2 linked regions of the Arabidopsis thaliana genome follow. The protein of the gene in region 2 interacts with the protein of the main gene of each other region in a pairwise test. Each region holds a gene or a part of one and is shown on either strand. Other genes may lie near its edges.

Evidence for each region. Proteins that work in one complex are often made in the same cells at the same time.
Region 1: the proteins of AT3G47120 (region 2) and AT1G31870 interact in a two-hybrid assay, tested with the Arabidopsis thaliana proteins (one large-scale study listed by BioGRID).

The regions. Positions count from the first base shown.
Region 1 is NC_003070.9:11,434,774-11,440,821, reverse strand, and holds AT1G31870 (pre-mRNA-splicing factor of RES complex protein), read right to left. Parts: upstream 4,104-6,048; 5' UTR 3,933-4,103; intron 3,571-3,932; exon of another isoform or gene 3,554-3,570; coding exon 3,358-3,553; intron 3,239-3,357; coding exon 2,326-3,238; intron 2,049-2,325; coding exon 1,981-2,048; intron 1,893-1,980; coding exon 1,828-1,892; intron 1,733-1,827; coding exon 1,629-1,732; intron 1,540-1,628; coding exon 1,467-1,539; intron 1,367-1,466; coding exon 1,186-1,366; intron 1,087-1,185; coding exon 1,001-1,086; 3' UTR 547-1,000; downstream 1-546. Other genes in the region: AT-IE (histidine biosynthesis bifunctional protein (HISIE)), read left to right, coding at 4,292-4,444, 5,634-5,879, 5,956-6,048.
Region 2 is NC_003074.8:17,350,447-17,354,421, reverse strand, and holds AT3G47120 (RNA recognition motif (RRM)-containing protein), read left to right. Parts: upstream 1-1,583; 5' UTR 1,584-1,652; coding exon 1,653-1,825; intron 1,826-1,909; coding exon 1,910-2,019; intron 2,020-2,108; coding exon 2,109-2,296; intron 2,297-2,386; coding exon 2,387-2,536; intron 2,537-2,650; coding exon 2,651-3,088; 3' UTR 3,089-3,461; downstream 3,462-3,975. Other genes in the region: AT3G47130 (F-box associated ubiquitination effector family protein), read right to left, coding at 1-473, 529-708.

The sequences.
Region 1 (6,048 bases), on a different chromosome or scaffold from region 2:
AGTTATTAAATGAATAATGAATAATATAGCCCTACGTGAGAAAAGGTAAAAGCATCATCAGGTGATTATTCCCACTTCCAAAGAAGATTACGTAAAATTCCAATCCCTATTTCCTAGGTTTCCTTAATCTATTTATTTTTCAAAACACCAAATTAAGTTTTTTTTAGCGCATTACGCAATACTTTAATAAACCAAAAAAGCATAGTTAAAGTAAAAAATTGTTTCCAAGTGAACTAGTTTTTGCTACAACCAAAATCAAAAATAGACCCACGTCTTAGAATAAACAAGTGTTCGTATATTTGAGAGCGTGTACACCCTTTGAAGAATTTTTTTCTTATTGAGAGATGTTGATTCACCACCAATAATCAAATCCGATGAAGTAATTTAATTTCACAATGACAAATTGACAACTTGGAAAACTTTTCGTGTCCATAATCTGCAAGGAAACAACATAAAACCCCTCAAAGGGCCTCCCGGCCCATACAAAATTCCCGAACCTAACCTTTAAAGTAATAAGCATTACACAACAATGAGTGATTAGCCTGGCCCGTATAAAGTTGCCGAATCTAACCTTTAGATTACATGCTGCATCACACAAGTAACAACGATGGTTCATCATGTTTGATTTAACTTACAACTTTAGAATTTTTTTCTCTCTTTATTCGGGACCACTTCGATATTGTTAGAACAAATTTGTTCTACAAGGATGTTTCAAAGAAATTCAGATTGTATTCAATTCACAGTTAGTTTAGATGATCAGAGAAAAAGATTTGAAAGTCTAAACTAACCGAGTTCTGTTTTTGTACCGGTTTCTCAACGTTGAGTTTGGTTTTTTACTGGTTTCTTACTTACCGGCTGCATCAGACAGACCGGACAAGACTCAGGCCATACTAGTATGTATAGTTATCTCACATTTCAAACTAGAACCAGAATTCAAACTTCCTCAGTTTAGAATGGTTATCTCCTGAATCAAACCACATTTTGCCGAACAAAATCTGATTCACATGTCTGCAACGGACCAGAGATAAGCCTCTATTTCCGTTGCTTTCCTCTCATTGGTCTTCTTAATCAGATCCTTCTCAGTTCCTGAACCAATACACCAAAGATAAAACAGATCAGAGAAATAATCTTCTAAAGGAATCTTTGAATGTGAATAATGAAAAGAAATGTATTAGAGGAGCTTACCGTTACTACGGTCGACCCCATCCCAGTGTCTACCCGGTTTAATCCCATACCGGTTTGATGCAGCTTCCAACCGTCTCGTCAACCAACTATGTTTAGGCACACTTTGTGGTATAATGAACCCAGATTTTTTCATCTCCTCATCGTCTCCTAGATCCACAAGAGTTGTCTCGTACTTTCTTTTCTGCGATATAAAAACTCGGCAATACGTTAGGATAATGCTGTTATGACAAGATAATCATGGTTATTCATAATTTTGTCGTAAGCAGAAGTATTTTCAATACCTTGACCAAATGAGCCATTGGATCTCCAAATCTAACTCTTTCCTTCATCATTTGATCAAGCTCCGGATCATCCCTGAAACAACAGAGATAAACACTGTGAGAATAAATAACCAAGTAATAACAGCTCAAACTCGAGCTCAAGAAGAAGAATAAATAAAGTACCTTGTCCGAGCAAATGGCTTATCCTTCTCAAGCTCAAGTTCTTGTAGTCTAGCTTCAGCTTCACGCTTCTGAGCTAAACCTTTGCCCCATTCCAGTTTTATCTCCTACAAGAATTAGACAATACATTCGTAACTCTAATTTTCTCAGATTCAGATTATATACATATTTTGAGGAGTATAGAGTTAATGACACACAGTACCTTTGGCTTCTCTATCACTTTTTTTTGCTTCGATTTAAGATATTCCTCCTTTGATATACGCTTCCCTGCAATATCAATAAGTATCTGGGTGTGAGACATGAGATTATGCATTCTTACTGCAACTTATAACGACTAGGGACCTATAGTCCTCACCTGTGATCTTGTCACGGAACACTGCTTCTGCGTTTTGACCAGTTAGCTCGGAATCCATATTTTTAAACCTGTAGAAGAGTATAATTTGTCAGAAAGATGGTAGCCTAAAAACATGCAATCGCGAATCTCAAATCATCGTTACTGAAGACTGGTCTCTTTATGAATTCCCTATTTAAAGACACAGAAGACAAAATCTTAGAAACTTAGGAAGTAGGCAACATGAAACTTCAAGGAAATAGGAAACTACTCTTGGCCCAATACTACTGAAACTGAAACAAACCTGATGCCTATAACTAAAATGCAGTAACAGATTCTAAAAAGCTTAGTCTACTTTCTGATAATTACCTCAATTTTTCATCCTCCTTTTTCTTTCGATATTCACTTCCAATGTCTTTGCCACTAATCAATCCGGTCTTTCGTTGCTCCTTGCTTATTTGAGGAGGTGATGAATCTCTGCGTGGTCTCCTTGGGGGAGAGCTATCAAAATTGGAACTCCTGGACACATTTTCAGAAGAACGTCGCAAATCTGCGGCTTTTCTTTGAGGCGAAAGATCTGAGTCTTGAGAATCCTTCATATTTATATTCCGGCCGGGTGGAGATAAATCAGCATTCGAGCCAAAAGATTTTGAAGACCTTCTAGCTGGTTCAGGTGATGGAGAATGATATCTTCTTCTCCGTGGAGGAGATAGATCATTGCTCTTCTTTTTTACATCTGAGACAGGTGAACCATGTAAATCTCTTTTCCTGCGAGGCGGAGATAAATCATCGTCCAACTCAACAGAATCTGAACGCTTTCTGCTAGATTCACGCGATGGAGAATGAACATGTCTCCTACGAGGAGGAGATAGATCTTCACTCAGATATTTAGCTTCAGGTTCTGGTGAAGGCGAATCATTCCTGGCTTTTCTTTTGCGAGGTGGTGACATATCTGAATCCAAACTAACAGGCTTGGTATGTTTTCTGTTAGGTTCAGGTGAAGGCGAATTGTGACGTTTTCTCCGTCGTGGTGGTGACATATCTGTATCAACTCTATCCGCAACCGACCGTCTAGGCCCAGGCTCAGGAGAGGGCGAGTCATTACGAGTCCTTTGTCTACGTGGAGGAGAAATATTAGATTGTGTGTCTTCACGGTTTAGAGGTAACGTTACCCACCCACTTCCATCCTCAGCAATGGCATTATGAGCACGCCTTGCCTTAATTTCCTCCAACCTCCTCATTCGCTTAACTTCAATGTCTTCATCAACCAGAGGTGTTTCCTCTATACGAAACAAATGAAAAGAGAACACAATATGTAAATGTGAACTGTTATTAGATCAGGGAAGTGAAAGCATTACAGATGCACAAGTCCAAGAAACAAGAAACAGTCAAGCAATTTACCTGCTGAATCATCTTCGTTTTCGTCCTCTTCAGGATCAACCTGCTTTTGCCAAACTGGATCTTCGTCGACAACTAAAACACCTCTTGGTTCAGGTTTAGATGGCTTCTTCTGCTTCTTCTTCTTCTTCTTCTTCTCTACAACATCACTACTTTCATACTTCTTCAAGTAATCTTTTAAAGATTGGTTTCCTGCCATCTTTGAGAATTTGGAGCCTAAATACCAATGATAAACTTGAAAAATTCAGTCAAACATAACATCTAGACGAAGATATATTCAATTCAGGAACCAGAGGTTCAAGCAGGAATTAATGGCAATGCCACCGTTCATCATCTTAAGAGACCGAATTATAGATATAGCTTTCAAAACCAAATCTGGAATCAACAATTAGTTGCTAAACTCAAATTAGCATCAATCAAGCCCTACGAAAATGAGACTGAATCGAGAATAACAAAAGAATGCTTAGTCTTATATCGTCATCAAATCCACAAATTTGCATCTACTCAAAAGCGATTCCAGAAAACTAGAAAGCTAAACGAAGACAAGCATACATTCATAGAATCGTAAAATTACTAACCTGATCGGAAAATTAACGCCGGAGATGACCGGGAAAATATCAGTAACCCAACGCGAATAGTTGAAAATGATAACTCGGAGAGCTAGCTCTTCTAGGGTTTTTGGATCTCCTGGAGACGAAGAATAGAGAAAAACTTAAGTTATGGCGGAATTTGAAATTTCAAGCAATTAATAGGGATTGCTTTTGTAATTCCTAATATTAAGACATAAATAGGGGCATTTTAGTATTTGCACACATTGCTGAGTCGGTCTTTAAAAAGCCCTTCACTATCACATTGACTTCAGAACAATTAGGGTTAATCTCTTCCGTTGCTTTTTTTTTTCAATCCGCCGCCACTTTTCGTTTCTCGTAGCGTTAAAATGGCGGTATCGTACAATGCATTAGCTCAGTCTTTAGCGAGAAGTAGCTGCTTCATCCCCAAACCTTATTCCTTTAGAGATACTAAGCTGAGAAGCAGATCCAATGTCGTATTCGCGTGCAATGATAATAAGAACATTGCTCTTCAAGCTAAGGTAAACATCTTCTGTGTAATCTTAACTTATAGATAGAATGTTCTGCAATGGAATCGTGTTAAGTTTAATTGTTATCTAAGAACGATTAGAATTTAGATTGAATATTGAACCAGACATTGTCAGGTGCTTACTCTTTGACATATGAGTAATTACTGTTACATGTCGGGTAGAGAAAAAAGAGAGAAGGAAAAGCTTTTTAACCTGAGCTTCATTTTTAGAGTTTGGATTTCTTTTTTAAGATGCTCATCGTTTGCTTGGTCATCTGCATTTGGTGATGCCTGAGCTACATCTGTTCATCACATTTTATTAAAGCATTTAAGTATATTGTTATGCCAAAAGTAATTTAGTTCTATGAACATTGTCTGGAGTAAATTGTATATGTAAAGTTTGGATTTTTGCCAGAGATGGTCAGGTTCCTACCCTTTGACATGTGGGTTTGGACTGTTACATCTCTGGTATAGAAAAGAGAGAGAAGGAAAGGCTTTTTGATGGTTTCCATCTTTAGGTTTGGATGTCTCTTTCAAGGTGCTCATCGTTTGCTTGGTCATCTTTGTTACGTGATGACTTGGCTCCATTTGTTCATCACAGTTGATATCTTTTCAAGGAAATATGTATTGTCTTGCGCTCTCAGAGTTGGATTAATTCATCACTGAATTACTGTGATGCCTTCCGAAGTAACTTATGTTTTAATTTAGAGAAAAGGAGGTTCATGTAAGATGTGTCATTTGTTAATCTATTTTAGTTACGTCATGTACAATTGAGATTTGGCCAGAGATGGTCAGGTTCCTACTCTTTGACAAATGAGTTTGAACTGTTACATCTCTGGTAAAGAAAAAAGAGAGAAGGAAAGGCTTTTTGATGGTTTCCATCTTTTGGTCTGGAGTTTTCTCTAAAGGTGTACATCGTTTGCTTGGTCATCTGAATCTGTGATGGCATGGGCTACATCTGTCCTCCACAACCTGAATAATCTTCATTGAGACATTTCTCTTTTGGCTTTAATATCTAGTCCGATAATGCATTTACTGTTTATACTATTAGAGAGGGGCTTGTTTGATTGAAATGACAATGTTTTTTTCTGTGTTGGTAGTGTTGCCATTGTGCCTTTTATTACTGTCTCAATAAGCAATGTATATGCGGCTGTTGTGTTCCCTGGTAGCTAATCATGGTTTCTGTTGTTTTCTTGTGTTAGGTAGATAACTTGTTGGACCGCATTAAATGGGATGACAAAGGATTAGCTGTGGCAATAGCACAAAACGTTGATACGGGAGCAGTATTGATGCAAGGCTTTGTTAATAGGGAGGCCCTCTCCACAACCATCAGTTCTCGGAAAGCTACATTCTTTAGTCGATCAAGATCTACCTTATGGACTAAGGGAGAGACATCCAATAACTTCATCAATATTCTTGATGTGTATGTTGATTGTGATCGTGATTCGGTATGTTTGCGTGGACCACAGATATGAATCAATGCAGTGTTATTCTTCATAAACTCATTGGTCTCTATTTTCTCAGATTATTTACCTTGGAACACCTGATGGACCTACCTGTCACACAGGGGAAGAGACTTGTTACTACACATCGGTTTTTGATCAATTAAACAATGAT
Region 2 (3,975 bases):
GAGGTATGAGAAACATGAGGACATGCAACACATGGAGCCTCTCTCCAAGCTTCTTCTCTTCCCAATAACAGAATCTTGTGCTCCATTCTCAAATGAAAACGATCAATTGCGAGCACTTTGTATTGATCTTCAATAGAATCGTACCCAACAAAATAATTGGGGCATGTAAAAAGTTTTGGATCTTCTTTGTACTTGAGTTGGGGAAAAAACTGAAGCTGCCTTGTGCTAGGGTTACAAATCCCCATACTTAGTCTACTTATGCAGATCAAGCCCCGAACCGCATTATACACTAGTTTCCCATTAATTTTAAAGACGTTCAGATCTTTATAAGGTACACAACATGAAGAAGAGGAAGAGGAAGAGGAAGATACGTATGGGTTAGGCGACGAGACTAACATAAGCTTTTTACCGTGAAAGTCCTGAAAAGCAATGAGAAGACGTGGAGGAGCTGAGGAAGATGTAATGTTCAAGTGCTGTTTTTTGAAATATTGGCTGGTGGTGATAGAGGACCAAAGCTTGGAGGCGCACCGGAATCTCAATAAAGACTTCACAGGCAATCTTAAAAGTGTATAGATCTGAAGATCGAGAGGAATGTAAATCGGTGCCGGATAGAGGATCGAGTTTCTTCGCTTTAACCTTTTTCGCTTCCCTTTTCTTAGCCAAAAATTTCTTTTGGTGGATGCACAATAGCCGTAAACACAACTTCATTGTCTTCTTCAAACGTTTCAAAGGCTATTCTAGCGAAACCTAACTTAACCTAATTGGAGTTTTAGAATTTTTCTTTATATATCAAAATTGAACATATTCGCTAGGCCTGGCCATAATAACCGGAACCAAATACCCGAACCGAAAAACCCGAAAAATAATCGAACTGAACCCGAACTCAATTTTAGAATTACCTGAATGGATCCTACACTTCACTACCCGAAAAAACCCGAACCGAACCCGGACCTAATCTAATACCCGTAGATACCCGAATACAAATATAAACCTAAAAATATTAGTTATATATATATTTGTAATACCTCAAACACCAAAAATTAAAATTATAAATCCGAATATACTAGATATTTTTAGTAATTCATATACATTTAGATATATTTGGGATAAAAGTAACCAATGTTATAGTTTTTTTTAGATAATTTAAGTATTTTTGTTACATTTGGTTATATTTGGATAAAAAGTAACCAATATATTTACGGGTAATCGGGTATTTCGGATAGATTTGGGTATATATGAGAAAAAACCCGAACCTAACCCGAACCTGAAAATATTTTGGATATTTTTGGTCATTTTTACATTTTTACTAAAATAACCGAACCGACCCGAATCGAAACCGAACCGAAATTTAAGAATACCCGAATGGTTCTCAATCTCCTACCCAAATAGATCCGATACCCGAAAAAAGAACCGAATCTGAACGGGTATCCGAAAAAAAGAACTGAACCCGAACGGATACCCGAATTCACGTAGAAGATGTAAAAATAATATTAGACATTTATTCTAGAAAGGGAATAGAATAAATGGGCCTCAATCCGGGTCGGTTAATCTAATTAGGAAACGGGTCATTAAAACCCGACCCGCTCAGGCTAATCTCTCATTTCCTAGTTTTAGGGTTCCTCCCGGCAACGAACGCAGAGAAATTTGAAAAGATGAATCCATTGACGCAGGTGAAGAATCTACAGAAGATAAACGCTAGGGAATCAGATTTAGGAATATCTGATGAAGCTTCATGGCACGCTAAGTACAAAAACTCTGCATATGTCTACGTCGGAGGCATACCGTTCGATCTCACCGAAGGTGATCTTCTCGCCGTCTTCTCTCAGTAAGTGTTGTGTTTCGTTTCTAAAGTTTCAATTTTTTTAATGGGTTTATAGGTTTAATGTCTTTTTGTTTTGTGGAATTGCAGATATGGTGAAATTGTTGATGTCAATCTTATTCGAGACAAGGGAACGGGTAAATCTAAAGGTTTTGCTTTTCTTGCTTATGAAGATCAGAGAAGTACCATTCTTGCTGTTGGTTAGTGAAACTGACTCTTGTACATGTGAAATTTACTTTTTTTTTAGGTGTTAGGATTTGTAATTGGGTTCTGTTTTTGGTGATTGTAGATAATCTGAATGGAGCTCTTGTGTTGGGACGGACCATTAAGGTGGACCATTGTGGGGCATACAAAAAGCACGAAGAGGAGGATGAAGAGACGCGACGCCAGAATAGAGAGGCTCGTGGTGTATGCAGAGCTTTTCAGAGAGGAGAGTGTACTCGTGGTGATTCTTGCAAATTTTCCCACGATGAAAAAGTAAGTAAGCGTGATTTTGTACTTTATTCTTTTCAACAGATGATTTTGATGAATGCTTGATAGAAGTTAACCCTTTTTTTTTATGGACAGAGAGCTGCAAATACTGGTTGGGGTCATGAAGAGGATAGAAGTTCCAAGTGGGATCATGACAAGAATAGAGAGGGTCGTGGTGTTTGCAGAGCTTTTCAGAGAGGAGAGTGTACTCGTGGTGATTCTTGTAAATTTTCACATGATGAAAAAGTATGTAAGCGAGTAATCTATTCTTTCGAGAGATGATTTTGAATAAATACTTGATAGAAGTTATAACATACTGTTTATCTCATTTATTTTCTTGAAACCTTTTTTAATGGACAGAGAGCTGCAACTACTGGTTGGGGTCATGAAGAGGATAGAAGTTCCAAGTGGGATCAAGACAAGTTAAATGGTGCTAAAAAGGGTGGTACAAGTTTTGGCAATCGAGGAGATTTCAAACCTGATGTGGAAGAGAAAAGTTACAGAGGAAGGGGTGATGGAGATGCCTCGTATGGCCGCCCTAAAGAGAGAGAAAGAGTGGATAGGGAGGATATGGGGCCAAGGTCAAGAGATGCTTATGATATGAAGGAACAAAAGAGATCAGGACGGTATGATAATGCGTATTCTAGAAGGCACAATGATGAAATTGATTATGTAAGGGAGGACAAGGGATCCAGAGCACAAGATTGGGAGAAAAGGAAGGCAGAATCTAGAAGAGATCGTAACGACAGGGAGGAAAAAGATAGGGATTCATTAAGAAGGGAAGATCGCCGTCGTTAAAGGGGTAGATAGTGGTATGCATACTCAATGGTTTTCAGTTTTAGCTAGTGTCTGTGGAAATGACCTTTGTTCTTTCCAAGAGAGTTACCTGTGGTTATATAAACTGCTTCATTCTGTAACGGGGATTCTATGTTTGTTGTGACACCTGAGACTTGTTGATTTTTCCGTTTGGAATGAAAGAAGTCGTTATATCCTTTTTCGTTTATTTACAGAATTTTTGCTATCTCATTATACCTTTTGTTGTTAGTGGCTGTGTTGACCTGTGGTTACAGACTCAGGTTCTACAGGGATGAGTGACTCTGGCTCTCCTTGTACGTGTCATATGGATGGATTAGTGCAACGCTTGCTGTTCTTGTCATATGCAAATTAAAGAGGTAAACTGTAAATATTTTCCTTTCAATTCCTAATGACTTTGTCTATAAAAAACTGAACAAAGAATTGTGTATAAATTACTGTATCATATAGTGAGATTTGAATTTTTCTTCTGCTAGATATGAATATGATTAAGATACTCTCGAATTATTTATTTTATTGTATTTTGCTGAGAAATATATAGAAGCAAGTTGGTGTATATCGAAATCGTTGATGTCATGGTCACTGCTAAGAACTTGACAAACATCCCTCAGCTACATTTTTATAAGAATGGTCGTTGCTATTAGTGTTAATTAATCAAGTTTTCCTTGGTAAAACTAAAGTATATAGTATTTGATAAGCGTCTGATAGTTGACTTGGGCGAAATGAAGCAGTGAATAATGAGGCAACATGAGAATAAGTCATTGCTCTATTGGACTTTGACCCTAATAGTCAACGAGGATTGAGAATAATCTGCATACCGCAGGCTGCAAGCCCCGTGGTTTTGGAATATCATTACTTTGTTTGCGAGTTTC